Saccharomyces cerevisiae S288C: one gene and its partners. Changing the gene in region 3 together with the main gene of any one other region gives a genetic interaction. Each region holds a gene or a part of one and is shown on either strand. Other genes may lie near its edges.

Region 1 (7,915 bases), on a different chromosome or scaffold from region 3:
TCTCAAAGACATACAGTTGAAGCAGCTCTATTTATACCCATGCCTTCATCAGTCATCACTACTTAAACGATTCGTTAACAAGTGCTCATTTAGCACCTCACATATCCTCTATATCTCATCTTTCACACAATCTCATTATCACTATGGAGATGCTCTTGTTTCTGAACGAATCATACATCTTTCATAGACTTCGTATGTGGAGTACTGTTTTATGGCACTCATGTGTATTCGTATGCGTAGAATGTGAGAATGCCAATTATAGGGTGCCGAGGTGCCTTATAAAACCCTTTTCTGTGCCTGTGACATTTCCTTTTTCGGTCAAAAAGAATATCCGAATTTTAGATTTGGACCCTCGTACAGAAGCTTATTGTCTAAGCCCATATTCAGTCTGCTCTAAACGGCTTCCATGCAAGAAATATTTCTATCTCTTGAATTCGTACAACATTAAACGTGTGTTGGGAGTCGTATACTGTTAGCGTCTGCAAATTCGTGAATTCTCCGCGAATGCCTTGGTGCAATTACGTAATTGTAGCCGCTGAAGGCGGATGGTATTGAGAGAAGTTGATGTTCAAAGAATCGTGTATGATAAAAATAAAATTGTAACAGTTTATAAATACTAAACTTTACTTGAAAAGTCTTTTAGTCCGAAAATGAATGTGGGAATACTAATTACAAGCCTCCCATGGCACTTCTTCATTTCTTTTTGACTACGAACATGGCACTTTTTCAATTAATTATATTTAATAAATATTTCTTTTTACTTAAATTTTACAAAACCCAAGGTCATTATGGTGATTAAACCACAGTATATATATGTATATGTTGAAGAGGTTTCAATTCGGCCAAAACGACAGTACTATATCTGAGTCTGCACTAGACAATATTGAATTTACTTACCAATTAGCATTAATATACCAGAAAAATATCGAATTTCTTTTTCCGGAATAAAATACTTCTCTTTCAAAATATTCATTTGCAAATTAGAATACATAGGATATTATGATGTGCACCTAAAATATAGAGAAACATACTTAGAACTTACATATCAAACGTTATCTTAGTTATTAAAAATGAAAAATAGCTGGGCAGTGACACCTGAAATACCCCAAAAAAAAGAGCAACTATCTAGAAAAGTATGTAGAAGTCCGAAAGGAACAGAGGGTGCCACCAATAGCTTTCACAAAGAGTTCCTTTCGTGTTGGCAAAAAAAATGAGTCACTTACTACAGGTTCAATTTTTATAATTCAATTGTTGTACCTATCTGGAAAAGAAGTCCTCAAAATTACTCCACCCGGAAATAGCTGTATCAAAGAAGGCACTTGGAGAACCTAATATATCATCGATGAAATTTTCCGAGAAATCTTCTAAAGGTCCCTCTAAATCATTTAGTATAGTTGTTAAACTGTTTTCAGTTGCATCATTTTCGGTTTCAGGCCCTTCATCGATATTTTTCATTCCTTTGTTAAAAGCTCTTCTTCCTATTTTTTCCATTGATATAATAATAGAAAAGTAATAGGAGTTTTGCCAAATTTGAGTAAGAGGTTTCAACTTTTCTTGGTGAATATGATCAAATATGTTTTCCATTTCTTTAAATGCAATTTTCAGTGAAATACACTTATTGTGTGGACCCTCAAAGTCTCCAGGACATATAGAATAAGTTAGTGCGGACGAATTTCTCTGAATGAATAATTGGATATCTTTATTTTCCATATACTGTAGAAAAATGGTATAAATTTGAATTAATGCTCTGAAAGCGTTCACATAAATAAGAAACAACGCATTGTTTAAATGGGGCCATTTTTTGGAGAGGCATAATGACTTAGAAGATAATTTGCTGTTGTCTAATTCAAAATAGGTCTCAAGGACATTAAAGCACAAATGTAATGAATTTAGTGGAGCCAGGACGCTAAAATTGAATATTCTCGCATCAAAATCTTGATGTGTTAAGGTATAAAGATTGGATAAACTTCCTATCATATGGAGAGTTGCATGCCATAATTGAAGTTCGGTGAACTCATTACCATTTAAATTAGATGCATTTAAGTAAAAATCCAACGGCTTAAACATTTTAATGGTGAACTTTTTTAAGTCCTCGATGATGAGTGGAATGTCAGGCGGTTTCTCACGAGCATGAATTTGTTTCATAATATTTCTCAGTCTTAATGTTGTTTTATACAGAAGGATGTCCCCTGATGAAGAATAGTTTTCTAGACGTACCTTGTTTACAAAATCGTCGTTGATTCGGACCGGAATTCCTGTAGAGAGTGAAATTTTAACGTCCGTGAATAGGATCCATAACCACAATCTCTCCAAGTAAGGTATTTCCTCTATTGGATGATTTTTACTCAGATATAAACGACGAAGATCTTCATTAAGGCCCATATGGATAGCTGTGTCAATTGTCAGACCATGAATAAATATGCAATGTGACTGATCGCCCCCGTCAAGACCCGCCACATTTATGTACAGGTAACGTAAAAATAAAAATTGCACACGCTCAGTATAAAAAACTTTAGCCGAAACAAAAGACGTTAAAACTTTATGGAAGACTTCAATAGCCTCTGGCACTTCTTTTGGATGGGATGCTAAGCACATAATGGCTGTCATAACACCCACTTTATAATAATTTTTTTTACTGTCCAGATTAAGGGAAATTATTGTGTGCTGACCAGTTTTATGACTTCTTGGGCCTTTAACAAAACAATCTTGCAGATCCCTTAATACTTTTTCTTTATGAACAATTTGGTAACTATCGTAAAAATCGCTAGCAAAAAAATCAGTTAAATACTCACACAAAACTTCATAATTTGGAAGCGATTCACATAAGTATTCAATAACACTTGGTGAGCCTGAGTGCGGTGGGGCAGTCTCAATGGAACTAATCTCCGAGAGTGTTGAGTAATGATGCTCTCTTTTCCAGTTGTTACGGCTGAGTTTTAGGACTTGCCATATCTCCTCTCTGTATTTGGCAAAAGTATCTGTTTGAGTTGCTAATATTGCTCGATACGACGTTGGTCCATAAAGAATGTGCCTATTGTGCTTTGAAGATAAATATCTCATGTTGGAAAGAGGGTTTTGTCCTTCGTGAATGTTAGGCTGGGATTGTTTTGTTAGCTGAGATTCAAGCTCTTCAATACGACGAGCCATCTCTAATTTTGAACATCTCCTGTATTTTTTCCTGAGTTGGTCCTCCATGGCGGAAGTGTTTTCTTTATATTCACATTGCTTTCGATTTCGAGAAGAGCAACTTCCACAGAACGGTCTTACTCGATCGCACTTGAGCTTTCTTACTCTACAAAAGTGGCACGACTTTGCAGGCTTTCTTCTACTCTGCCTATCTAATTTTTTTTTTTGACTAAGTTCCGTATTCTTCATTTTCTATTGATTATGGAAAGTATATTGCTACAGATTCATTATTTCCAAAGCAACCGTTATTGGTTACTAGTGCTGGACAATTGATATGTAATCAGTTGCTATACATCTAGATCAAGTTGCTCTCTTCTTTTGACGTTTCGAATATTTTTTGACTTCAAACTTGAAGTGCACACTCATCTTTTCAAGGTTTTTTATGATTCTCCGTTTTATGGCTATTCCCGCTTTTAACATAGAGGCGATGCATGGAAGACAATAATTATTTTAAGGTGCTTTTGAGATCAAGATATTTTTAAGAGTACTCACTATGGGTATGAGATAATAAAATATATTCCGTTTTCTTATTATTTCCATTCTTCAGATTTTTACAGGCTAAACACACATATATAAAAATGCCATCGGATATTCAATTCAGTATCCTGCTATTGATATAGAACTATATAACTGATACTAGAATATACTAATTCGTGCACTATTAACCGTTTGGCGATGTCCGAAGAACGGCATGAAGATCATCATAGGGATGTTGAAAATAAATTGAATTTAAATGGTAAAGACGATATTAACGGGAATACCTCAATCTCGATCGAGGTGCCTGATGGAGGATATGGGTGGTTTATTCTTCTTGCTTTTATTCTGTACAACTTTTCTACTTGGGGGGCAAATTCTGGTTATGCTATTTATTTAGCGCATTATTTAGAGAATAATACTTTTGCTGGTGGGAGTAAATTAGACTATGCTTCTATAGGTGGGTTAGCATTCAGTTGTGGACTTTTTTTTGCCCCAGTTATAACATGGCTTTATCATATATTTTCAATTCAATTCATTATAGGCTTAGGGATACTGTTTCAAGGGGCAGCGCTACTGCTTGCAGCTTTTTCTGTCACACTCTGGGAAATTTATCTCACGCAAGGCGTTTTAATTGGATTCGGTTTAGCATTTATTTTCATACCCAGTGTCACACTCATCCCACTATGGTTCAGAAATAAAAGATCTTTAGCCTCTGGTATAGGAACTGCTGGAAGCGGGTTAGGTGGTATTGTCTTTAACTTGGGAATGCAAAGTATTCTACAAAAGAGGGGCGTTAAATGGGCGCTCATTGCTCAGTGCATAATATGCACATCACTTAGCACCATTGCGCTTATGTTGACCAGAACAACACATCAAGGCCTACGTCAACATAAGAGATCTTACAAATTTGAATTGCTAGATTATGATGTGCTTTCAAATTTCGCGGTCTGGTTACTTTTTGGATTTGTATCATTTGCTATGTTAGGATATGTTGTCCTTTTGTATTCCTTGTCTGATTTTACCGTTAGTTTAGGTTATACTAGTAAGCAAGGCTCATACGTATCGTGCATGGTGAGTGTCGGCTCTCTGCTGGGACGACCAATTGTGGGTCACATTGCTGATAAATATGGATCACTAACAGTTGGCATGATATTGCACCTTGTCATGGCCATCCTTTGTTGGGCCATGTGGATACCTTGTAAAAATTTGGCCACTGCGATAGCTTTTGGATTATTGGTTGGTTCTATTATGGGAACAATTTGGCCAACAATTGCTTCAATTGTTACACGCATTGTTGGTCTTCAAAAGCTTCCTGGTACCTTTGGTAGTACCTGGATTTTTATGGCGGCTTTTGCCTTAGTTGCCCCCATAATCGGTCTGGAACTTCGTTCAACTGATACGAATGGAAACGATTATTATCGTACAGCAATATTCGTGGGTTTTGCGTACTTTGGTGTTAGTTTATGCCAATGGCTATTGAGAGGGTTTATAATAGCTCGAGATGAGATTGCTGTGCGTGAAGCCTATTCAGCTGACCAAAATGAATTGCATTTAAACGTTAAGTTATCACATATGAGTAAATGTCTTTTTCGTTATAAACAATTACCTAGGAGAGTCTAAAGGTCACTTTTATTTCACACTGTAGATAAGAAGGGGATAGAGTTGCCAGAAAATTTTTTGCTTTATCAGCTTTTTAGATTTGTCTTCTCGTTTTATAAATAATGATAATTTAGTACAATAATAGATAATAAAAACATTTTTTTTTGCAAATTGAAAGCTTAACTGGTTTTTTAAAAGAAAATATTAGTGACCTTCTACCGACTAAAATCTTCCACTAAATCCCCAGTAGAAACATAAGATAAGGTTGAAACTTTTTTAGGGCGATTATATTTTTAGTCCTATACATGTTTGATGGCATACTTTTTAAGGAAGATTTATGAAGCTATGTTCCACATAGGTTTATGTGCTATTGATATATACTATAAATAAAACGCTCTACCCAAGAAATGAAACATTTTTTAAACTTTTGTCATCAGCACAAAAATATGCGGATTTACGCGTTTGTCATTCCTATAAACCTTAACCTTAACGCGAAACCATATTTCGCTACCTAATGTTGGTTCGGTGCATTTTGAGAAAAGGAACTAGGTTCAGATATCATGCATCGAATCTATTATCTTCCAACCGAACTTTTACAAACGTTTAGACCGAGCGTTATTGACTGAATTAAGAGCAAGTTTTTACACGTGTGACTCTGGCACATTAGAGCTGTTTGAGAATCTAAAGTCTTGCTGTCTAAGGACCAAAAATAATGTATTTCGAGGTCATAGCTAAGAATCTCATTGTTCTTCAGCACTTGCTAATCACATATCTATTTCTAAGTACAAGATGATAGTTAACAACTAATAATGAATAAACCAGGTAAAAAAAAAAAAAGAAAAAGCTGTAAAAGACGACAACGTTGGCGTCGCGAAAATATTAATAGAACCATATGTTGGATAATGTAGCCTCTATTATACACTTATCCCGATTACATTGTTTTAGCGACGGTAATCATCTTTTTATCCGGCACTCTGAATCAAACTCTATCTTTAAGTATCCTATATGCATGAGTTATGTCGATTATATCGAAGACTCGGTGTGTGATATTACTCCACAGTACAAAAACAGGAATACAGAGAAAATTGAAAAGATATATGAACGGATGGTATGGTAAATAAAATAACAGCCATTATAAAGCTTGTGGTAAATTTTCCAGGACGGAAGTTAGCTTATGCAGTTTTGTTTATCTTCCTTGCATCTGTGTATAATACTGAAACACGCAATTAACGTTTCATAAAATTTGCCTGAGGGCCGTATAAAAATTCAGTGACCATTGTTCACACTTTAAATATAGCCAAATTGCCAAGAAAGGGTTTCATTGCAGGTTTATCGAAATATTAACTCTTTAAATACAGGGACTATACAGAGCTAACTTCTTAAGAAAAAAAACCATGCGACACACTACGACTTTCACAAATTCCATAAAAGAGATATTTAAGATTTAGATAAAATATCAAAGGACTGCTGTACTCTGCTTCAATTACCTCCTTACCATAAAGTTATAGGCAGCTTTCTCCATCGACATACTAAAATTTGGATAGGTATTATTAATGAAATGACTAGTTTTAAGTAAAAAATGATCACCAGCATTGATACTCTTCAAAGTACTCAATGGCTTTTGCAGACTTATCTAAAACTATTTTTGCGGTTTCATTCCTCACTTTGTCAACAAAAATAGGAGGTCCACAGCAAACCACAGATAATGAGCCACTCAATTCAGCCGCTTCATGTAGAAGTTCCTTAACATTTGGTCGCCCGCAATGGAAAACAACACCATCAAAACCAAGTGGATTGGCAGACTTTTCTAAAGTAGTTGCCACAACAGTGCCTTTTTCATCAGCCTTCTCATCCTGTTGAGAAATATCTAAACTATCACTAGGGGTTAATGATGGGACTTCCATTGTGTTGTAGATGTGAAGCTGTACATTCAGATTTTCTAAACACATCAACTCCGGCTTATAAGCCTCGAGTACGTCGAATCCTCTAACTGCAATCACTAATTTTACAGATTGTTTTCCAGCAGCCGCTGACGTCTTTCCAAGTTTAATTGCATGTGCAATAGGTCCAGGCAAACCGGTACCTCCAGTGAGTAACAATACATTATTGTAATTATTGACCGGAGATGAAGAACCATATGGACCTTCTATAGCTAGTCTCATAGATGTCTTACCTCCATTGCGACACACATACTTTTTGACAAGTCTTGTTACTCCCTTTTTTTCTTTCAGGATAATAACCAGTTCACCATTCTTGCTTACTGAATCCAAAACAGTAAATGGATGTGACTGCCAGAAGTACAGTGGATGTAAAAACGAAACGAAAACATATTGCCCAGGTTTGGCCCTCCATGGCCTTGCCGGTTTTTTAACTGTTAAACGAATGAGATCATCCCCGATTAGTTGTAGGGAAGCTTTGGGGAAACCAAAATAAGAAGCTTTGATAATTCTAATAATCCGGTCAACGATCCAAATCGCAATAGCAGTGTATATCCACTCAATGCCACTTAAACTAACAACATGCTCCCAACATGCATAAAAGAACATTGCACCAAGGACGATATGAAGAAAAAGAAAGGCTTCATAAAAATACTTCCTGAATACTGCAAAGGAAAAGAAAACCATTGTGCCAGCTAAACAAAGTGCTGCCACCC
Region 2 (7,176 bases), on a different chromosome or scaffold from region 3:
ACGAAAACTTTCCGTCAAGAACCAGACAAACTCGTCAAAATATTCTTCATTACCTGCAAGCTGTATTAATTTTGTCATTGAGCGGTTTCGCATATCATGAACTGTCCAGAAACTTGCACGATAATCATCTCTTACATCCAGATTTTGCATCGAGACCCCTTCTACTGGGTGTCAAACTTTGTAACTGGCTATCCAATGGGGTTCTGCCAAACTGGTTAGGCTACGGTGTTGAAGGACTGTTATTTGGTTCTGTTGTACCAATTCTGGATAATATTTTTCAAACAGAGGTTGTTAAGAGCTCTGTCCACCATGACAGTTTGACCTCTGTTATTAGAAGTATCAATGCCATGTTGGGAGTCACATTTGGGATCAGGAAAATACAGTGGAACTCCTCTTTGCAGGCGGCAGGGGCATGGGGGCTTCTGAATATTATACTGTGGTTGTTTTTTGACGGCTCAATATCCATGTTAATGAGCTGCATCTGCATTGGGGTGGGTTGTTGTATCTCTTGCTACAAAGATATTATCGACGGTTCCCAATTTTTATATTTCATGGATTTTTATTTCCTTGGTTCTCTAATGTTTGGAAAACTAGGAAGATATCTATATTCTCATTAAAGTCGAAATTCTGACGAGTAAATATTATTAATTAGAAGTACAAGAAGATAACATCAGAATGGCTTATCGTTTATATATAACTAATTAACGTAAACACAGTCAGCCATATGGCTGTAACACTTGACATTTCGAGAAATCACATAATAAGCGTTAAATATAAGAGACCCTTCTCTTTCCCTAAAAAAATATAAAAAAGTACAGGTTGTCTATTTATCTAATGGGTGATTCAGTATACAAACTGGACGACGAAGAGCTGTGGTTCCCCACTGGCGTTGAACTTGTACTACCACCTCCAATAGTACCGTTATTAGACGATGGTGGTCCACTCGATATACTTCCCTCCTTTTGTATCAACGTCGCATTATCTACTACACCAGCGGTTGAGGCAGTTGACGGACAAGTGCTTATCCTTCTTTTTATTATATCTTCTCGTAGTTTGCTGGGATTTGTTAATGGCAGGTTATTCTTTCCATAGTTTATTGGATCATTGTTTTGAATGCCAGCTTTCTGCAAAGCGTAATCACCACTGTCGAAATATTTTCTTTTCTGCATGGTATGCTTAAAAATATCTTTCTTTGATGGCAGCTTTCCGTACATTTTGTATAGCTTCATTTCGTTGGGCGAGAATTTGCTGGTATCAATAGTTCCGCTTTCGCCGTTATTCAGTTTAGTTAAATCTGGGTTACTACTATTGGGAGATAAGTTTTCATTCGACATAGCGGCGAGTTAGATATTCAGGTCCCTTTCTTTCGATAAAAATACCCACTTTAATGAGAAGCATTTGATGGTTAATGGACTTTTTTACGTTCTAGTTGTGATGAGGCCAAGCTATCCAGCCAAAGGGGGCTCAGGCTTCCATACTAAAATTTCAGCAAAAGATCGTTCAATACGTGTGGTGCCCGGGTAACAACAAGCCCTGCTACTAATAGCACCATAACGATTAATGTTGGGTAAATATCCACGGGGATACCTAGCCGAGTGGTGATTAATGAGACTTGTATTGGAACCATGGCATGCTCACTAGGATACGAGTCAGACAAGACCTGGAAAGTCACTAGTATTCTCGCGTAGTCTGACTTAGTTCCCTGAAATTCAGTGAAACGTGGTATTGTGATAGTTTGGAGATTATTAATGGAAATTGGATGTATTGCTGACCAACACACTTTAATCTGATATGTTTCGTCTCGCTGTAAGTCCGCCAGTTCAATATACGTAGTATTATGCAACTCCAAGTCAGTGGTATTGGCCTCGATAGTGATCTGACTCATTGCTTCTCCCGATAGTGATATGGAAGATATCAAGTTTACATCTCTTGCATAAGTAGAGCTGTCTCTTGGTTTTTTGAGGGGAAAGTTGTGAGGAACCTTATATAAGATTGATTCTGTATTAGCGTGTACAAATCCGATGAAAAATACAATTGTAGCGATAAACCAGTGAACATTCTGAGGCCGGACCATCTTCTTTTTAAAAATTGAACGAACCTATGTTGGCTTAGTGTGTGCGAATACCAAGGGTCAACAACATTGCTGTGCAGTTAATCTTCATATTCATGTAAACTTCTCATTTTTTCATTGCATATTAGTTTCCGTCATTGATGATCTTTTATAACAATAGTGAGAGGAAACAACTCCCTCTACCTTCAAATAGGGTCGATTCGGGAATATGATTAAAGAGACACCGAATCAAACGCATACATCCTCACAAGCATTTAGTGAGAAAAAATGGCGAGGCCTCAAAATCATCGCCGCAGTAATTGGACAGAAAGAGACGATAATGATGATTATCTGTTTCAGCGATTTCTAGAAGAATCGGAAACGAGGCATAGTAGAGAGCCTTCACCTGTAACCGAGCAATCTCAGCAAGAACTACAGCAGGATGTACAGCAAGCAATCGATGGAATATTTAACTCCCTTAGGAGGAATATGAGTTCTACTTCAAATATAAATAGAGCAGCTAATATGGATGCAACCACAAACGGAAATGGAGGAATCAATGCAGACACTATAAGAGCCACCAACGCCAATACGGCCGATTCCCCATTCACAGCAAGGCAGCAGAGCCCTCTCAGAACTTTTCTTAGAAATTTATTCATTTTAGATTACTTTATTGGGCTAATTTTATTCCCATTTTCCGTATACAACATATTAAGGAGCGGGTTCAATTCAATGACCTTTTCAGAGAATGATTTTATAATCGAAATCGTGGGATACTGGAAATTTGCCAAGATATTTGGTTCTGGTGGCACGACATTAATAGCATATAAGGATACTGGTAAATTAGGGTTGCTTGGAAAGTTTCATAACATCATTGTATTTTACTCTTCACCTGTGATAAAACATATTATGAAAAGTAGAGATGGCAATGAACCCAACTTAAATTGGATAAGACTAATGTTCGCTAAAGCTTTCGAGCTATTTGTCAAAGTCTCTACCATTCTGATCTATTTAGCTTATGGCGTAAGTGGTACCGTTTACATGGTTACCGCTGGGTTTTTCTTCGTATTGTGTCTATTATTCACTGTTATTAGAAGATATAAAGGTGTCCATCGAATGTTGGTGAGCCAAAGGATTACAGGGCCAGGCGTATTCTGATGATGAATCCACGATTATAATTTGTGTATTTGCTTATCTGTAGTAGTTTCTTTCGCATGTGGTCGCTGTATGAGACACTTGACACCAGAGGACGTTTATTTTGAAGCAACTCCTCTATGTAAGAGCTGTTTGCAAGCTTTCCGTACTGTGACACTTGACCATCATAACGTATATTAACGAACTACTAGGGTTGTTGTGGGCTTCTTTCAAAATGGGAATTGTTAAAAACTATTGATAAACGCCACTCACTACATGCATTGATTGTAAGATTTAACTATCCTTTTTACCTGATGTCTCGAAAATAAGCGTTTACAACAACTACTATTTTGCCGTTCTAGTTTAAAACATGGACGCTATAAAACACTAAATATATCAGAAGATTTCACTTAGACACAAAAGAAGGGGGTGAGATCCCTTATCTGTAGTAAAATGTATACAAATTATACGGACATTGTTTCTTTATTGTATCCATGTATACATGTGGGGTCTTGACACTTACAGGTAGTGAATGCTAGACCTTCGAGACTTAAGGTGAGCAATGTTTTAAAACTTTTCTTTTTTTCCCACTTCAGTGGAGTGTCACCCCGGGAAGATATTCACCTATGGTCAATGTAGCAAAAGATAATAAAAAAATATGTATGGCCAAGAATTTATATGATTCTTTCATCAATTAATTAATTAATTATTTGGGGTATGTCTTAAATAACAATAAAAAGGTGTATAAAACAATCATACTGCTTTAATGGGAAGTATGGTTCCTATTACGAACGAAAATAAAAGCTGTTGCGTGGAAATTTTGTAAAATAATGGTTATGATGACTGGTAAAAAAAGAATCTCTATGCTTCGCTAGATTTAATATCTATCAGTTCATGGGAAAATGCTTTCCAGAGCGGACTTGGAGGTGACACCATTAACGGCAGCAATGGACAACAAGATTTGGGCCTTAATTGGGGATAGGTAACCAGCACCCACAGCGTTCTTTGGAACATCTTTGTTGTCAATAAAGTTTAATGGAGTGTTAGCTTGAGCATATACGACTGGGATTTCAGTGCTTTCAATAGTAGATGAGGTTGAGTTGGTAGAACCAGAAGAAACAACAACCAAACCTTGAACGGCAGAACTCAAGGAGTCAATCAAACTGGAAGAGTAACCACCGTCATAGACAATTGGAACAATTGGAACACCGTTTTCTAATAGACCATAAGGAGTAGTGAAGTTACTGTATTCCTTTCTGATAATCGAGTCAGAAGAGATTAAAGTTGGCTTAGAAGCATCGAAGAACCATTTAACTTCGTCTTGGTCATCAACGATAGCAACAGGCAAACCAGCACCGTAAGAACAAGCAGTAGGTGGAGTGAAGACACCGGAGTACACTAATTTGTCAGAAGTGACGGACAAGACACCACGTTTGGTAGCGTTCTTATTGTTAGCGACTGGAATGGCATAAGCGGAATCTTCAGTGACAACAATAGGCTTTTCGGTGTCAAAAATGATAGAGAAGAAGAATGAGACAGCTTCCAAAGATTTGGCGTTGGCAACAACAACGGCACCGGCGGATGACTTATCTTGGATCGTTTCGTTAACAACACGGGCAACATTGTACAATTCGGTAATGTTCAAAGCAGAAGAACTGTTGAATAATCTGGTGTAGTTTGTGTGGGTCAAAGAACTGTTGGTGATTGGTACTTGACCACCTGTTACAATGATTTGTAATTGACTGCTTTCGGCAGTAGTAGTATTGGTAGTACTGTTTGTTCCATTAGCGTAGGTAACATTGCTAGAGTTAGACCCATTCCAGGCCGGCAAAGTGGAGTTGATATTCTTACTGTGAGATGCCTTAACAGCCCTGTATTTGAATAGGTTTTCGATTGGGCTTGCGACGACGGCAGATGAACATGCCAAAAGGGCAGATAAAACAACTTGGAACTTCATTTTCTATTACTGTATTACTTAACTGACGATTAATCCTGTAGATGTTTTTTGAGCTGATTTTTTACAAGCAAGAAAGAAATAGAAGGGATATTCAATAAGAGCAATAACCCAAGAGAACACAGCAGAAGTTCTAGCAAATGTCACCCTCTATCAAGCTTTTTATATTTCAGAGATGATGGTTTTTTTAGTGAGGTACTTTTTTCTCCCTTTTTCCTAATTATTACTAATAGGGTAAAAGAGATATAATAGGCGCTTTCTTTCTTCAAAGTATCGATGTTGAACTGTAGCATCGAGAAGCCGGCTTCACTCCCTACTGAGATTCTTCGGAGTTTGAAGATGCAATAGAGTACGAATATATCCCTTTTCAGCTCCTGAGCCTCTCCATTAGGAAAAGTATAAACTTTCGTCAACTTCTGCGCTAATTTTCGGCCCCTTCTTCGAGAAGTTTCGATTCGTAAAGGGTAAACTATTTAGACAGTGTACCCTTTTTGGGCTCATGTGTCTCTTGGACACATAACATGTCCACATAACATGCCCCGATTGGGTAAAAGTGAGAGACTTTTTCGCCCGCCGGATCTTCCGCGGATGACGAGAAAACTTCGCAAAAAAAAAAGTCACAAAAAAGTCACATAATAAACCAACGAATGGCCGATGTTTTACGGGTAAGCAAAAGTTTCGACGGTGAGAAAAAAACTCATGTGTCTTCAATCCCACATCAAGGCCCCTTCCTCTGGAAAGAGATCCCAATTAGGGATACCCGATCCGAGAATTTGAACATTGTGAGAACATTGAATCAATGATACCGAATGTTTAGCCCTCGCCGCCACATTACCCAATAGGGAATTGAAATGGAAATCGACTACTGAATTTTCCTATTGCTCATTTTTCTCTTTCCTTCAAACCATCGTCGGTAAAAGAAGGGAGTGAAGGGAAAAGCCAAAGATGATTAGGGATTCCGTCAGACATTCCTAAATTTGCCCTTTTTAAAAAATAGCACGCTTTAAGATATGCGTGTGGAACTAGTTCATCATGGTTTGACCTATCCCGAACGCTTTTGTTTCTAGCAATATTTGGTTATGACGATCTTTCAAGCGACGATTAATGAACTTGAAAGTGTAGGTTTTACAGTGATCGGTTGTCGAACCTCCGCTATCGTCTTCCCTGAGTTTCATTCAGTATTGTAAGACTGGATCATCTTATAATTTATAGTTCGAAAGGCCGAGAGGAAGCGCGTGATGAAAGCACGATCTTTTCTCTTTTACGACGTGTTAATAACAAAAATTATATATTCTTACACGTGTGTATGTTATTTCATATTTTTTTCAATATGGTCGATATATATAGATACTTCCTCTACAAAATCGTCCCCTGATCTGCCATCTCTTTTACCTTTTTCAACTACATCAGCCATTTTTCTTGTTTTTCAAGGTAAAAAAACCAGCCATCACCGAGATTGTGCTATTGTGCGTGGATGTATGGATTAAGGGCAGCCTGTAGGTTACTAGGTACATTGTCTTCGGAAAGGTGGTCGTTCAAATACTTCAAGGAGACATATGATAAAGCTGATGTCTATTTTGGTAATTTTTTTCCCGAAAAAAGTGCAGTTATTTATTCATAATGTGCGTTCTACATCCATAGATAAATACTTGAATAAAGAGGAATGTCCTTAACGCGTCCCTACAACGCATTTTTTCTTGTCAAATAGTCAAATCTGGAGTAAGTGTAGCCAATAAAAGGTAAATCTTCCTTGACTGGCGCACTTCCACCTTGCTTTGTCATCTGTTCCCTTTGTTTGGCAGCTTGTGCCATAGCTGGGGAATCTGGAACATTCTCCAACTCATCGGTTGGGAAGAACCTAGTATCGGTGATGGAGCTCAACTTTGGTATATACGGTGCTTCTACTTGTCTGATTGTATTCCAATCAACACCGCGAAAAAATGGATGACTTTTTATTTCATCTGCACCACCATGTCTACCAAGTCTTTGGTCTGCATGAGTTAATAGTCGACGGATTAGATCTTCGGCTTCATAAGAG
Region 3 (7,380 bases):
TGGCTAATGAAAAGAATATGTAAAATCAAGAACAAATTAACGAAGCTCTCCTTCGTTAACAGTCCACTACCTAAATTTATGATTAATGTGGATAAATAGACTGGTTAAACATCCATCCTACAGTGTTCTGAGGTTTTACACGAAGAGGCTCTGCACTGTATCAGTGAAATCGCTGCGTGAATTTGGTGTACTGCCGAATAGCACAATATGTCATTCTGTCTATCCCCGAAGAACGTATGTAATGGGTAGGGCTGTCATAAATGATATTTTAATCAAAAAATCCTATTCAACTCACACGGTATGTGCAATTGATCGATCAAAAGATGAAAATAATGGGAGCGCTTATGACAAATTCGAGGCAAAAGGTATACCTATAGATGTTCACACATTAAAACGAATTATCAGCTCGAGTGGAATGGATGAATCCGAATTTTCCAAGAGTATAAGTTACTTATTCGCGAAAACCGTGGACCCTGAACCGAAGGATGTTCTGTCTTTAGAGGACCTGTCTTTTCTTTTGAGCAAACTATACACACAACGGTTTCAAATTAGGAGAATCTGTAGAGACATAAACGCTAAATATTCAGAATTTTGGTTCAAACTTTTTTCCTTATATGCAGAAAAAGTTGATGCCAAGAGAAACCAAGTTAACTTACGGAATACGAAACTAGATGCATGTGAAATATTTGATGCAAATCTTATGATCAAGAACTTTATAGAGCTCGGTCAATTAGGTAAGGCTCAAAAAATTTTAAGCTTTATTCTTGATAGAAATCCTGATATATTACTGTCTCCGAAAAATGCAGATATTAGCACAATAGTTCACTTTTTACAACTGCGTTGTGGCGCTTTGGCGCCTTATTGGAAAATACCAGATAATAGTGAGCAAAAACAAGGTTTTTTAAGAAAAATGGTTCGACTAGGTGCGAAAAATACGTCAATTCGTCTTTCTTCTACTTACAAAGCCATGGATCACCAAACATTATTAAAGATTGCTGATCTTGCTCTGCAGGAGAAAAAGCTTTTGAATTCCGAGGATTTGTTGTCCACTTTAATTCAATCCTTTGGACACCTAGGCCAAACCCAAATATTGGAACGGTGTATTGAACATATATGGCAAATATCACCCCAAGAGTTTCCTAGTCACGTAGTAATTAAGCACCGAGGGTGCTATCCTAGTTCCAAAATACTCGTTTCAATCTTAGTGTCATTCTACTTTAATGACCACGATCTTCACAGAGGCCTAAGTATTTTGGATTCATTCATAAAGCACTATCCGGACGTGAAATTGGATGCGCTATTTTGGAGAAGGCTGTTTCAGCTAAGTCATTTTGCTTGGACACCAGCAAACGACAAGAAAGCCACTTCTGTTGTTAGATGTTGGCATTTAATGAAGCAGTGGTATGCATCTAAGCGGCTAAGGCCTTCAGTTGATTATGAGACGTTGAGACAACTGTACGATATCATGAAGAAAACAGGCAATTTCCCGCTTGGAATTGATGTTTTAAGGAGTTTCAAACCGGGGATCGAAAGAACGAGAGCAGAAAATGCTGGAAAAGTTAACAATATCATTATCAAATACCAAAAATGTATTATTAAGGAGCTTGTAAATAGAGGTAGATTTTCAGCGGTAAGGGAATTCATTGATAGTTATGGTTTTGATAGAAAAATGACCAAAGATTTGAATATTTTTTGTGCGAATCGTATGTTTCTAAGAAGTAAGAAAATGAAAAACAAGATTGAGAACAAAAAGGAAAGGGAGAAAGTGCGGCTAGATAGTTTCGATGACGATGAAGATGATGGTATGATTATAGGTAGCCTTTGGTAAGAAAAGTGTAAGTAGAATTAGCATTTATTTTTCTCCATATTCTTATTCTATAGGATGTAAATAATATGGGACTTTTTTATATATATATCTACAGTGTAGAGTCTAATATGTATAAACATCAAATTCATTAACGAAGACAAATCTGGAAAATATCCACCATCCGTATCTAAACCACACAACTTGGGATTCGTGAGCATTTAGCATAGTGGCAAACGCTAGTACGTATTGTGCATGTGTATTCATAAGTGAAAGCTTGTCTTTTTCGGCGGCTGTGTTAGGCGGAAGCGCCTGAATTATTCTACGGAATGGAGAAATCAGGTCGTAAAGTATTTTTAGGATTTCCCAAATAAAGGAGTTGTACTTTAAAACGATGTTGTTCTTGTAGCTTCTCAAATAAAGCGCAGTGACATGAGGTGGTTGTTCATTTCTTTTGGTCTTAGGTTGAGCATAATCATCCACCAACTTTTTAACGGCAGCATAACAGCTTTTGTGGTTGATATGATTTGATACACCATATGAATCAAAGGTAACGATAATCTGGTTCAAGTTATGATTCTTTATATCTATCTTTTGTGAAAGAGAAGAAGTTATAGAATCAATATCCCATATTTCGTCCATACCATCCTGGAAATCCATCACCTGTACGGAGACTGCTCTTTCATTGTGTAGCAATAAAGCGGCCGACTCATTTAATTCTCTTACCCTGGTTTCGCCAAGACCTTCGGCGTTGCCCTTTGATAAGCAGATTATGTTAAATGGGACGGTTCTCGGAAAGTACGAATTCAGTTGAGAAATTATGGGGGAAAAAAACATAACTTCGTCGTCAGGGTGCGCTATGACCAAATTGATTTCATAATCGCCATATTTATGAGGAAAAATATGCTGCAATGATGCATTGTTTCGGGAGACGATTTTGGGCGTAAAATAAATATATAGGATCGTCAGTACTATTGCTAGTTTAGTAATCTTGTAAAGCAATTTTGAAAAATTTACCTTTGTACGCCTCAACATCTTCATTTAACTTTTCTTCAGGGTTTGAAAGAATCTAATATACGGCTCTAGCGTCACCTATCTACACTTAACAATTCGATAAATAAGGAGGGCAATGCAAGATTATAAATAAAAGCGCAGCGTCGATTTTCCTTTTTCTATGACGTTAACGTAACTAGTAAACCTTCTAGAAGGGACGACTCCAATGAGATAGAAACGGCGAAGCGGGAATTTAGGAGTACTTGTTACCCGGCTACTAGTTTATTTCATACAAACACATTGACACATTCGCACATATACATCTACGAGAAATTACTGAATGTGAAAAGGATCAGAGGCAGTTAAAAGAGGTAACAACTTTTATCATCAGATTGTGATACGACTTATACTATTGAATGTGTATGATTACACAACTTTCCTTCTGCAGAACATTTTTACATCTGTTAAGATGGTGCAACATTTCTTTTTATTAGCACATTACTTTTGATGAAAGAGTATATTCAGTTATCGTAGCTCCTCTCACTTCTTTCTATCCGGTGTTTATTCGCGATATGAGTTGTGATATCAGAGACAGAGAGAGTTTATGTGCGTAACAGGAACGGAGAAAACCAGAGTAATTGAGTATTATAAGCAATAAATCATAAAAAGACATTCTTTCTCGTGCAATTTTTTGGTATTCGGGATAATCTTCTACTTGAAACTTCTTTTTTTCGGTGTTTAATTTGCCTATTGGTAAATATTTTTGCCGCCGAGGTTCTCAGTGATTATATTCGTATTAAGCGATAACCGAGACATGCATGGAGCGGCGGGGCTGATATTTTGTGGGGTACGAAAGCATGATTGGTCAGTGACACTCAAAAAAAGAAAACAGCCGTAAAATAGTAGATTTTGTTAAACTCCCCTTTAAACCTGTGATATTGTAAAAAGACGAAGAATTTAATAATTTAATAATTCATTACGGTATTTATTTCTTCATAAACAGTTACAACACCCTAAAGAGAATTTACAAGTTGAGTAAAAGACAAGACACAAAATTATGGCAAATAATAATTCTGATCGACAAGGTTTGGAACCCAGAGTCATTAGAACTCTGGGTTCACAAGCGCTTAGCGGTCCTAGCATATCTAATAGAACTTCAAGTTCGGAGGCAAACCCTCATTTTTCCAAGAACGTGAAGGAAGCAATGATCAAGACAGCTTCTCCGACTCCTTTATCTACACCTATTTACAGGATAGCTCAAGCTTGTGACAGGTGTCGATCTAAGAAAACAAGGTGCGATGGAAAAAGACCACAGTGTTCGCAGTGTGCTGCTGTCGGATTTGAATGCAGAATAAGCGATAAATTACTGAGGAAAGCGTATCCAAAAGGGTACACAGAAAGCCTGGAAGAAAGAGTACGCGAACTGGAGGCAGAGAATAAGCGTTTGCTAGCTTTGTGTGATATCAAAGAACAGCAAATAAGCCTTGTTTCACAGTCGCGACCACAGACATCAACGGATAATACCATAAATGGCAATTTCAAACATGATTTGAAAGATGCTCCATTGAATCTGTCTTCTACAAATATCTATTTATTAAATCAAACGGTTAATAAGCAGCTACAAAATGGCAAAATGGATGGTGATAATAGCGGTTCTGCAATGAGTCCATTGGGGGCACCACCTCCACCGCCACACAAAGACCATCTTTGTGACGGCGTTTCCTGTACAAATCATTTACACGTCAAGCCTACTTCTACGAGTTTAAACGATCCAACCGCTATATCTTTTGAACAGGACGAGGCACCTGGTCTTCCTGCGGTAAAGGCATTAAAATCAATGACGACTCATCAACGTAGCACTCAATTGGCAACTTTAGTTTCTTTATCCATCCCAAGATCTACTGAAGAAATTCTGTTTATTCCTCAGCTTTTAACTAGGATAAGACAAATATTTGGTTTCAACTCAAAGCAATGTTTGTATACGGTTTCATTATTATCTTCATTGAAAAATAGATTGCCAGCACCACGGCTTCTAGCACCTTCAACATCAACCAAGTTAAAGGAGAAAGATGAAGATAAAAAACTTGATGATGATTCGGCTTTTGTGAAAAGGTTTCAAAGCACAAACCTCTCCGAGTTTGTCGATTTGAAAAAGTTTTTAATTTCTTTGAAATTTAACATTAACTCGTTTTCAAAGCAATCAGAAAAGCCGGCTAATGATCAGGATGATGAACTACTTTCCCTCACTGAAATTAAAGAGCTTTTACACCTTTTTTTCAAATTTTGGTCTAATCAGGTACCAATTCTAAACAATGACCACTTCTTAATATATTTCAACAATTTTGTTGAAGTCGTGAAGCATTTATCTACAGAAAATTTGGAGACGAATAACACTACTAAAAGTACAGTCACCACTAATCATGAAATATTTGCCCTAAAGCTTCTGATGATGTTACAAATGGGGTTACTCGTTAAGATTAAAATGGAAAAAATAAAATACACTGTACCGAAGAATCCGAAGGCCAAATATGCTAGATTGATGGCATATTATCATCAGCTTTCCCTAATAATTCCTAAAAATCCTTATTTTTTAAATATGTCCACAACTTCATTACCATCCTTACAATTGTTATCTTTGGCATCCTTTTATTATTTAAACGTGGGTGATATTTCGGCAATCTATGGGGTAAGAGGCCGTATTGTTTCTATGGCACAACAATTGAGACTTCACAGATGTCCTAGTGCCGTATTAAGTGTACACTCTAACCCAGTTCTACAAAAATTTGAGCAAAGCGAGAGGAGATTACTGTTTTGGGCAATTTATTACGTTGACGTTTTTGCCTCATTGCAACTTGGTGTTCCTCGTTTACTTAAGGATTTTGATATTGAATGTGCATTACCAATTTCTGATGTTGAGTATAAGGATCAGTTATCTATGGAAAATGAAAAAGCAGATAAAAAAGCTAAAAAGATTCAACTGCAAGGTCAAGTTTCAAGCTTTTCATTGCAGATAATCAGATTTGCGAAAATATTAGGTAACATTCTAGACTCGATTTTTAAGAGAGGAATGATGGATGAACGTATAACTTCTGAAGTTGCATTAGTACATGAAAACGCACTGGATAACTGGAGAAATCAACTTCCCGAAATGTACTACTTTCAAATAACTGTAAACGGAACTGTGAATTTAGACGAGATTAGAGCAACCAATCAAAGAAATACTGAGACCAAATTTGATAAGAAAGACATAATATTATTTGAAAAGAAGATTCTATTGCTGTTTTATTTCTTGGCCAAATCTATGATACATTTACCGGTTATTGCAACCAAACCTTTGCCTAAGAATGTTGATAATGCCACAAAGAAGAAACAGTCAATGTTCAACAACGACTCTAAAGGCGCAACCAACCAGGACCACATGATATTAGATGTTGATATGACTTCTCCTGCTATAAGGACATCATCCTCATATATCATTTTACAACAAGCTACCAATGCAACGCTTACGATTTTCCAGGCCATTAATTCCATGTATTTACCTTTGCCATTGAATGTATCAAGAACGTTAATCAGATTTTCTTTGCTCTGTGCTAGAGGTTCTTTGGAATATACCAAAGGTGGTGCGTTATTCTTAGATAATAAAAATCTTCTCCTCGACACCATCAAAGATATCGAAAACGATAGGCTTTTGGATTTACCTGGAATTGCCTCTTGGCACACGCTGAAACTGTTTGACATGAGCATCAACCTGTTGTTGAAAGCACCTAATGTTAAGGTTGAAAGACTGGATAAATTCTTGGAAAAGAAATTGAATTACTACAATAGATTGATGGGGTTACCACCGGCCACAACCACATCCTTAAAACCATTATTTGGCTCTCAATCGAAGAACAGCCTGGAAAATAGACAAAGAACACCTAATGTCAAAAGAGAAAACCCAGAACACGAGTATCTTTATGGAAACGATAGTAATAATAACAATAATTCTGAAGCGGGTCACTCTCCAATGACAAATACAACTAATGGTAATAAGAGATTAAAGTATGAAAAAGATGCAAAACGAAATGCAAAAGATGGCGGTATATCCAAGGGGGAGAACGCACATAATTTCCAGAATGATACCAAAAAAAACATGTCCACCAGCAATCTGTTTCCATTTTCGTTTAGTAATACAGACCTTACTGCGCTGTTCACCCATCCTGAAGGACCGAATTGTACGAATACTAATAATGGCAACGTGGATGTGTGTAACAGAGCTTCTACAGATGCCACGGATGCCAATATAGAGAACTTAAGCTTTTTAAATATGGCACCATTCTTACAGACCGGTAACTCCAATATAGGTCAAAACACGATTGAGAATAAGCCTATGCACATGGATGCGATATTCAGTCTACCAAGTAATTTAGATCTAATGAAGGATAATATGGACTCTAAACCGGAACAATTAGAACCCGTTATTAAGCAAAACCCTGAGAATTCAAAAAACAACCAATTTCATCAGAAAGGAAAAAGTACGAATATGGAAAAGAATAATCTCTCTTTCAACAACAAGAGTAACTACAGCCTAACAAAGCTAATGA
Region 4 (8,039 bases), on a different chromosome or scaffold from region 3:
CGGGTTGGTCAGTATATTTTGTATTCAAGGTTTTTGAGCTGTATCTTTTCCGTCCAATATTAATTTCTAATTTACGAAATTGGTTGCTGAACTGGGTGTCGAACGAGGGCATGAAGCCATAACGAGGGTAAGAAGAAAAGGGGTTCTTGCAGAGTAAACTGCGATTCTTCAGATAAACTATCCCGAACATATTGACCCACTTTCAGGTAGGTCATTCAAAGCTTTTTGATTGACGGTAGATCAAAGTTGTGTTCTACGTATTTACGTCTTTTTTGTCGTATTTATTGATGACCTTTTGCCATCGTTAAGTGGAGAATTCGGCCTATTCCTAACCTCTTCCAGAACTATGAAACAAAAAACATAATTCAAAATTGTAGTTTGATAAAGTATTATCTATAAACTATTAAATCATAAATATATATTTCATAAAGCGTTAAAAATTGAAGATCAAATATTATTTTTATTCCTTGAAGGAAGTCTATATTATTTAATTAACTGACCTACTTTTTTCCGAACATCTTCTTGTAAAATGGTTGATCATCATGCATTAGATCATCAGCGTTGTAGTCAGTACCTCTCTTGTTTGGTGGAACCCAAGAAGGTGATTTCCATGGCAAAACACCTTCTTCCCATAAGGTGTTAACTTCTTCTAAAGTCAAACCTTTAGTTTCTGGAACGAAGAAGAAGACGTAGAAGTAAGAAAAGACCAAACAGCCCATGAAAACATAACCGTAGTAGAAATCAATAGCACCTGAAATAAATGGAGTAAAGAAACCAATCAAGAAACCCCAGATCCAGTTACAAGCTTGAGCAATAGCCATACACTTGGACTTAACTCTCAATGGGAAAGTTTCAGAGTTAACAACAAATGGAATTGGAGCCCAGGTAGTGGCAAAACAGAATAAGTAGAAACATGTGAAGACAATCATACAGTTACCAGCACCCTTAGAAGACCCGTTCTTCTTACCATTTGGCCACAATCTTGTAACACCAACAGAAGCGAAAACAACCATACAAGCTGTCATGGAAGCAGCACCCCATAATAAACATCTACGACGACCATATCTTTCGACTAAGAAAATACCAACAAAGGTGGAAGCAAAGTTGACAATACCCAAGACAATAGAAGTTTCAAAAGAATCTTCCAAACCGACAGCAGTGAAAACGGTAGTACCGTAATAGAAGAAATAGTTATCACCTGTCAATTGTTGCAATGATTGAATCATAGCACCCATGATCAAACGTTGGAAAACCTTAGTCTTAGTGCTAAATATTTCACCCCAGGAGGCATTACCAGCTAATTTTTCAGCTTCAACTGTAGCTTGAACAACTTCGACTTCAGCCATAACAGCTGGATCGTCTGCGCTGACCTTATTTGAAAGAGCAATAGAACGCTTAGCTTCTTCAATTTTACCGACTTCAACTAAATAACGTGGAGATTCTGGAACGAATGTCATACCACCAATCATAAACAAAGCCCAAGCGAAACCTAGACCTAATGGAACTCTCCATTGGACAGAATTGGTGTAGGTCTTGGTACCGTAGTTTGTACAGTAACCCAAGAAAATACCCAAAGTAATCATAAGTTGGTAACATGAAACCAAAGTACCTCTAATATGCTTTGGAGAGACTTCAGAAATCAACATAGGAGATAAAACGGCAATACCACCGACACCTAAACCAGAGATAATTCTACCAATGAAATATTGGTACCACTTGTTGATTGAGGCAATTTGGATAATGATACCGATAATGTAGATGACAACAACGACAATCAAACCCATTTTACGACCATACATATCACCTAATTTTGCTAAAATAATACCACCAATGGCACAACCAATGTTGAAAATGGAGACAATTAAACCAGTTCTAACCTTAGACAAATAATAAGTACCATCGTGGTGCTTCATACCAAATCTTCTGATAAAATCAGTTTGAGCAACAAAACCAGAAATGGTACCAGTATCCCAACCGAAAACAAAACCACCGAAAGCAACCATTAAACAACAGATGGAAACTGTAACGTAGGCGGAGGCGGGCTTCTTTGGAATTTCAACGTAGTTATTAGATTCTTCGTGATTCTCGTCGAAATCTTTCATGTCATCTCTTTCAGCTTTGTTGGATGGAGTAGACAAAGCGGAATTAGAATCGGATTCAACTGGCGACAAAGCATCAGCTGGAGTATTTTGGACTGCTGTATCCTCTTGATAGGCAGCTTCTTCAGACATTTTTGGCAGATTTTATTGTAAAAGTGTTTCAAAACCAAACCTTGATAAGAGGCTTTGAATATATCTTTTCTTTATGGTTTCTATTACTCATGAAGAGGAATTGAAGTGAATGAATCGAGAATAATGAATAAAACACTGAGTATTTATATAAAATTTTTTCTAGATGACATATTATTCATTCCCCAGTGTTGAAGCTTTTCACCACTAATTGACTTGAAGATTATTTTAGTTGCTTTTCTTACCACCCCACCTTCATAAACTTAAAAATATTATATTAGAATTTGAGTTTTCCTCCGTTGTTTCTTAATCAGAATCGTTAGACGCCGAATAATGGACTGTAAAATCAAAGCAGCTGGAAAAAACTCTGGAATTTTTCATGAAGGTGGCACTAAATCGTCGAAGAGCTTCTTGACCGTTTTTATCCGAAGTGTTTTTCCTCTTTCCCCAAGTTTTCCTGCAGGCGGGGGAATATGGGGCCCCATGGAAAAAAAACCGGGGGGGGTGGGAAAAAAAAAGGGGTCAGAAAAAAAAACTGCTCAGGGAAATATCTTCTTCTCCACAGAAAGAGACGCAGGCCAGGAAAAATGTGGAATATTATATAAACATTGTTTTTCCATTTTGTACGGATTTTTTTGGAAGAAAGCGGATAAACCGAAAGAAAAAACGGGAAATGGTTCCGGTTTGGGCATTGTTTTTCCTATTGGGCAAAAAAAAATCCCGGAACCAGCTGACTCGGATATTTTTCTTCCTTGTTTCCGCTATGCTGCTGCAAGTGACTTTACGAAGGCCAAGCGTTTCTTGGTGGAAATTACTGCAGTGTACTGGGTTTCGTTGGAGGCCCAGCCTTCATCTGCGTCTTGTTTATTCATTCTCATCTGATTATTATATCTTGATCGGTGCAAAAAAATTTTGAGGTACTTAAAATTTATTTTGCATAGAGATATTCGCATAAATGGAAAACCTAAGCTTTTCAGGTACGACTATTTGGCAACATCGTTGAACCTGGCTTTTCGGTCCTAACTTTGCACCATCTAGGATGAGACTATCTTGACTGTTTTACTTTTACGCATCGCTAGAAAATACGTGCGCGTTGCCAAATCAAAATTCCCGCAAATTGATGCGGTAGCGTAGTTCTGTTCCAAAATGAAAGTGAAACAACATAATGTTCCTTCTAGTTTTCGTGTCTGAAAGCTAAACCTCAAAGTTGAAACTAAAGCATGATTCCCCACCTCCTTCCTATTAGTCTTTTTTCCCGTAAAAGTTGGAAAATATCTGGGGTACTTGCGTCAGCTGTTCAGATCTTCTCTTACCGCTGTCGTGTCTTGTCTACAATGTCAGGTTGGCAGCCTAAGTTTTGGATTTAATAACCCTAGGGCTTTTCATTCTTTTATCAATCAGAACATTTACATGAAGAGGGCTGGAATAAAAAAAAAATATTCGGTTCTCCTCCATGCATAATGACGTAGTATTCTTATTGGCGCCAAACATAGTGTCATAATGCTTTTTCAACGATTTTAAAGTAACTCTTAGTGGATTGGAAAGGTCGCCTTTTCGATGGTAGCGTGCATTTTCTCGTCATTTTTTTTTTACTTGTCGTCTTTTCTTTACTGCTTCACCTCTTATCAAGCAAGTGTTTTTCGTGTCTCCCTGTGCCAGTCAGAAAATACATATGATTGGCAACTGTATATCCATTGAGATCGACTCGGTTATCTGTTAATGGAAATTATTGCTAGTAATTATAAATACCTAAAAACAACATCCTAACAGGCTTAAGTAACACTACTAGATGTTGAAGCAGCAGCGTTGTCAATTTCTATTCATTTGACATTTTTCCGAAATCATAAGCGGGCGTTTGAACTATGTATAGCGCCTATGTGGTATTAACCCATACTATATCATATAAAATTTTTCCTCGGAAGAGTGCCAGAATGAAATTTCTTGTTCCTTGGTGAAGGTCAAGAACTAGCAAAGAAAAGAACATCTGTTTATGAATTTGACAAGAATTTTGTTTTAACACCAATATAATATCACCTTTATAAAATTTACTGAGAAATTAAATACTGTATAAGTCATTAAAATATGCATATTGAGCTTGTTTAGTTTATTTCCTGCTAAACAAACTCTTGTAAAATGGTTGGTCATCATGCATTAGGTCATCAGCGTTGTAGTCAGCGCCTCTCTTGGATACTGGAACCCAGGAAGCTGATTTCCATGGTAGAACACCTTCGGCGTACATATCATTAACTTCTTCTAATGATAAACCTTTAGTTTCTGGAACGAAGAAAAAGACGTAAAAGTAAGCGAAAACCATACAGCCCATGAAAACGTAACCGTAGTAGAAGTTGATGGCACCAGTAATAAATGGGGTGAAGAAACTAATCAAGAAACCCCAGATCCAGTTAGCAGCACTGGCAATAGACATACACTTGGATTTGACTCTTAATGGGAAACATTCTGAAATAACAACGTAAGCAATTGGGGCCCAGGTAGTAGCGAAACAGAAAATGTAGAAACATGCGAAAACAATCATACAGTTACCAGCACCCTTTGAAGATGGTTGATCTTGACCGTTTGGCCATAATCTGGTAACACCAACAGAGGCATAGACAACATAACAGCAGACCATACCGACAGCACCCCACATCAAACAGTTACGACGGCCAAAACGGTCAACGGTGTACAGAGAACAACAAGTGGAGAAGAAGTTGACGACACCAAAGACAATAGAAGTTTCAAAAGAGTCACTTAAACCGACAGCCTGGAAAACAATGGTACCGTAGTAGAAGAAATAGTTATCACCAGTTAATTGTTGTAGAGATTGAATCATGATACCCATCATAGTACGTTGAAACATGGCTGGTTTACCAGTGAATAATTCGCCCCAAGATGCAGTACCAGCGGCTCTCATTTCTTCGACACTGGCTTCGATAGTTTCCAACTCATATTGAATGTATGGATGGTCAGGTGGGCATTTGTTAACTTTAGCTAAAGAAGCCCTGGCTTCGTCGATTCTGCCAGCTTCAACCAAATAACGTGGAGATTCAGGAACAAACATCATACCACCAATCATAAATAAGGCCCAGGCGAAACACAAACCTAATGGAACTCTCCATTGGACAGAGTTTGAGTAATTCTTGGTACCAAAATTGGTACAGTAACCTAAGAAAATACCTAAAGTAATCATGACTTGGTAACATGAAACCAAGGTGCCTCTCATTTCACTGGGGGCGACCTCAGATATTAGCATGGGAGATAAAACTGTGATACCACCGACACCTAAACCAGAGATAATTCTACCAATGAAATATTGGTACCACTTGTTGATCGAGGCTATTTGAATAATGATACCGATAGTGTAGATTACTACAACGACAATCAAACCGATTCTACGACCATACATATCACCTAGCTTGGCTAAGACGATACCACCAATGGCACAACCAATGTTAAAAATAGAGACAATTAAACCAGTTCTCACCTTGGACAAGTAATGACTACCGTCGTGGTGCTTCATACCAAATCTTCTTAGAAAATCAGTTTGAGCAACAAAACCAGAAATGGTACCAGTATCCCATCCAAATATGAAACCACCGAAAGCAACCATAACACAACAGATAGAAACCGTTACGTAGACACCTTTTCCGGTGTTTGGAGGGGCAACGGCGGGTTGCACTTGACTTTCACTTAAGTTGTCGTGAAAACTTTCATTTTTACCTTCTGGAGTATTCATGGCCTTTGAACGACCAGATTCCAATTCATATGAGTTGGATGAATTGGATTTCTGAGGAGATATTAGATCGGGAGTTGAATTCATGATTTTACGTATATCAACTAGTTGACGATTATGATATCTTTATAGATTTTAAGGTGGGGAAAGAACATGAGACCCCAGATGGAATTGATTATGGGGACATTGTTGCCTTTATATATAATTTCAATATACTAATTCAAATGATTAAAAACGTGAGGGGGACACGCAACTTCGGGTGTTAAGAAATATTTTGCTACATTAGATAATGGTGGAGTTTCCTGGCTTGTCGGATAAAAGCCATCAAATGTCGCAGCAGCTCATGTTTACGTTTGCTGTCTTCTGCCCACGTCATATGAGTGGTATTCTTCTATCAGCACTTGATGAATATTCTTTTTCTCATATATCTGAAAGACAAAAGATCGGCACGGCAATGCCCTGCAGCATTTCTTCCTAGTTTTTCCGAATTTCCATTACGTATTGGATCTTGTGCGCATATTTGTCAGTCCTTCACGGAAAAAAAAAAAGAGCACTGGGTCACTTCGGAAAAACTTTTGACTCAATGCAACAGTGTCATAATCCTTTGCGCTGTCTCTTTGAAGAAAAATCAGGAGTGCAAGATATCGATTAATTCCTTGGAAGTTATGATGGTTAGTCTTAGTTTAACTCTCTTGAAGAAGGGTTTTTTCAGTTGGTCAACACTCTTTAGAGGTAAAAAAAAAAAAAAAAAAAAAAAAAAGAGAATTCTTCATGTAATTTACCATGATTCTACGTTTTTGCAAGCAAAAATGAAGATAATCCGAGCGCATGCGCAAGTAGTCCCTGCCATGCCGCTTCGGAAAAACTTTCGAAACCAATACTCCTTACATCCGCCTTGAATTTAGGACCTACAATTGTTGTCTCTTCTGCTTGAACCAATAAGCCCTAGAAACCTTACACCCTAATTTGCACAAGAAAACTACGAAAAAATTTTTTCCTCTTTTTTCCGCAGCTCCAATCTCGCCCTGCTATTTTTTTGGTTCGGAGAAAAATAGTCGGTCGATATGAATTGAAGTTTCATTGTGGCCACTCGTTTAGGAATGGAATAACCTCCGCGAATGGAAAAAAAGAACTCGGAATATCAAAAATTCCGGCTCAAAGGAAAAATTTGCTTCAGGAGGGGGGAATTATATTCCAGATGAGACCTGCAAGGATTTCTGTGTGAGGTTTTCTCGGAGGAATAATAGTTTTCCAAAAATTACTTTTGGCAACTACGTGAATATAATTGACTACGGATATCCTTCGAGAAGGCCATAAAAAGAACCGTGACAGGGCCAAACAGAAAAATAATGAAGACAAGTTTGCTTTTTCTCTCACTGTATTTGAGGATCGGAAGCTTTTTGCACTGAAAATATTCTGGGTTAACAAGGTTTAAAGAAGCAAACTGCCACAAAGTATATGAGAGTATAACCGGACGGTACCTATACTTTGAAGTTGGAATAAATACGGGGTAGACAAAAAGGATGTGTTTCTGTATGTCTGATGAGAATGATGTCATCAAAGAACGTAAACAACAGTAACTGTCTATATTCTTGCTTTTTATTATGCGCTGTTACAGCAGGTAGCGGAGTTTTCAGTTCTTTCCCTAGTATGTAGTATGAAGGATAATACGGTAAAAGAACGGGGCTCTTGATTCATCATATAAATTTATTTTCCCCTGTTGAAACCTCGAGTAACCGTCCTCACTGTTTTATTACCAAGGATGAGCTCGAGCAGTTGTAAGAGAGAAGTGGGCAGAAAAGTATAAGTAACAAGAAACGATATACAAGTTCTTGTTGTTAGGCGTAGCAACCCTTTCTCCCCTGGTTTGATCCTACTTAAAATAAAGAAAAAAAACAAAAACGTCATGATGATTTTGATATTATTAGACATACGTAATTTAGTTGAATTAAAGGAATAACAGGCAGCCCTATTAACCACGGACAAAATATCTCTGCATATGATTGCATTATTTGTAAACTATGAATGAACATATGAACGAAAACGATTAATATTAATATTAAAATTTGAAATGGTGCAAT

The links.
Region 1: mutations in GPI12 (region 3) and MCH2 together harm fitness more than expected from each alone (negative genetic interaction), as found in Saccharomyces cerevisiae (one large-scale study listed by BioGRID).
Region 2: mutations in GPI12 (region 3) and PGA1 together harm fitness more than expected from each alone (negative genetic interaction), as found in Saccharomyces cerevisiae (one large-scale study listed by BioGRID).
Region 4: mutations in GPI12 (region 3) and HXT4 together harm fitness more than expected from each alone (negative genetic interaction), as found in Saccharomyces cerevisiae (one large-scale study listed by BioGRID).

Annotation. Positions count from the first base shown.
Region 1 is NC_001143.9:2,246-10,160, forward strand, and holds MCH2 (Mch2p), read left to right. Parts: upstream 1-3,861; coding exon 3,862-5,283; downstream 5,284-7,915. Other genes in the region: YKL222C (uncharacterized protein), read right to left, coding at 1,258-3,375; FRE2 (ferric/cupric-chelate reductase), read right to left, coding at 6,846-7,915. UniProt on the Saccharomyces cerevisiae protein: Probable transporter. Does not act in the transport of monocarboxylic acids across the plasma membrane.
Region 2 is NC_001146.8:334,510-341,685, reverse strand, and holds PGA1 (Pga1p), read right to left. Parts: upstream 2,075-7,176; coding exon 1,478-2,074; downstream 1-1,477. Other genes in the region: NSG2 (Nsg2p), read left to right, coding at 1-617; IGO1 (phosphatase regulator), read right to left, coding at 828-1,334; ASI2 (Asi2p), read left to right, coding at 2,339-3,208; YGP1 (Ygp1p), read right to left, coding at 4,077-5,141; serine/threonine protein kinase CBK1, read right to left, coding at 6,819-7,176.
Region 3 is NC_001145.3:827,804-835,183, reverse strand, and holds GPI12 (N-acetylglucosaminylphosphatidylinositol deacetylase), read right to left. Parts: upstream 2,846-7,380; coding exon 1,931-2,845; downstream 1-1,930. Other genes in the region: AEP2 (Aep2p), read left to right, coding at 86-1,828; DNA-binding transcription factor CAT8, read left to right, coding at 3,855-7,380. UniProt on the Saccharomyces cerevisiae protein: Involved in the second step of GPI biosynthesis. De-N-acetylation of N-acetylglucosaminyl-phosphatidylinositol.
Region 4 is NC_001140.6:286,581-294,619, forward strand, and holds HXT4 (hexose transporter HXT4), read right to left. Parts: upstream 2,232-8,039; coding exon 501-2,231; downstream 1-500. Other genes in the region: arginine--tRNA ligase MSR1, read right to left, coding at 1-190; AHT1 (Aht1p), read left to right, coding at 2,562-3,110; hexose transporter HXT1, read right to left, coding at 4,333-6,045. UniProt on the Saccharomyces cerevisiae protein: Low-affinity glucose transporter. Can also transport xylose.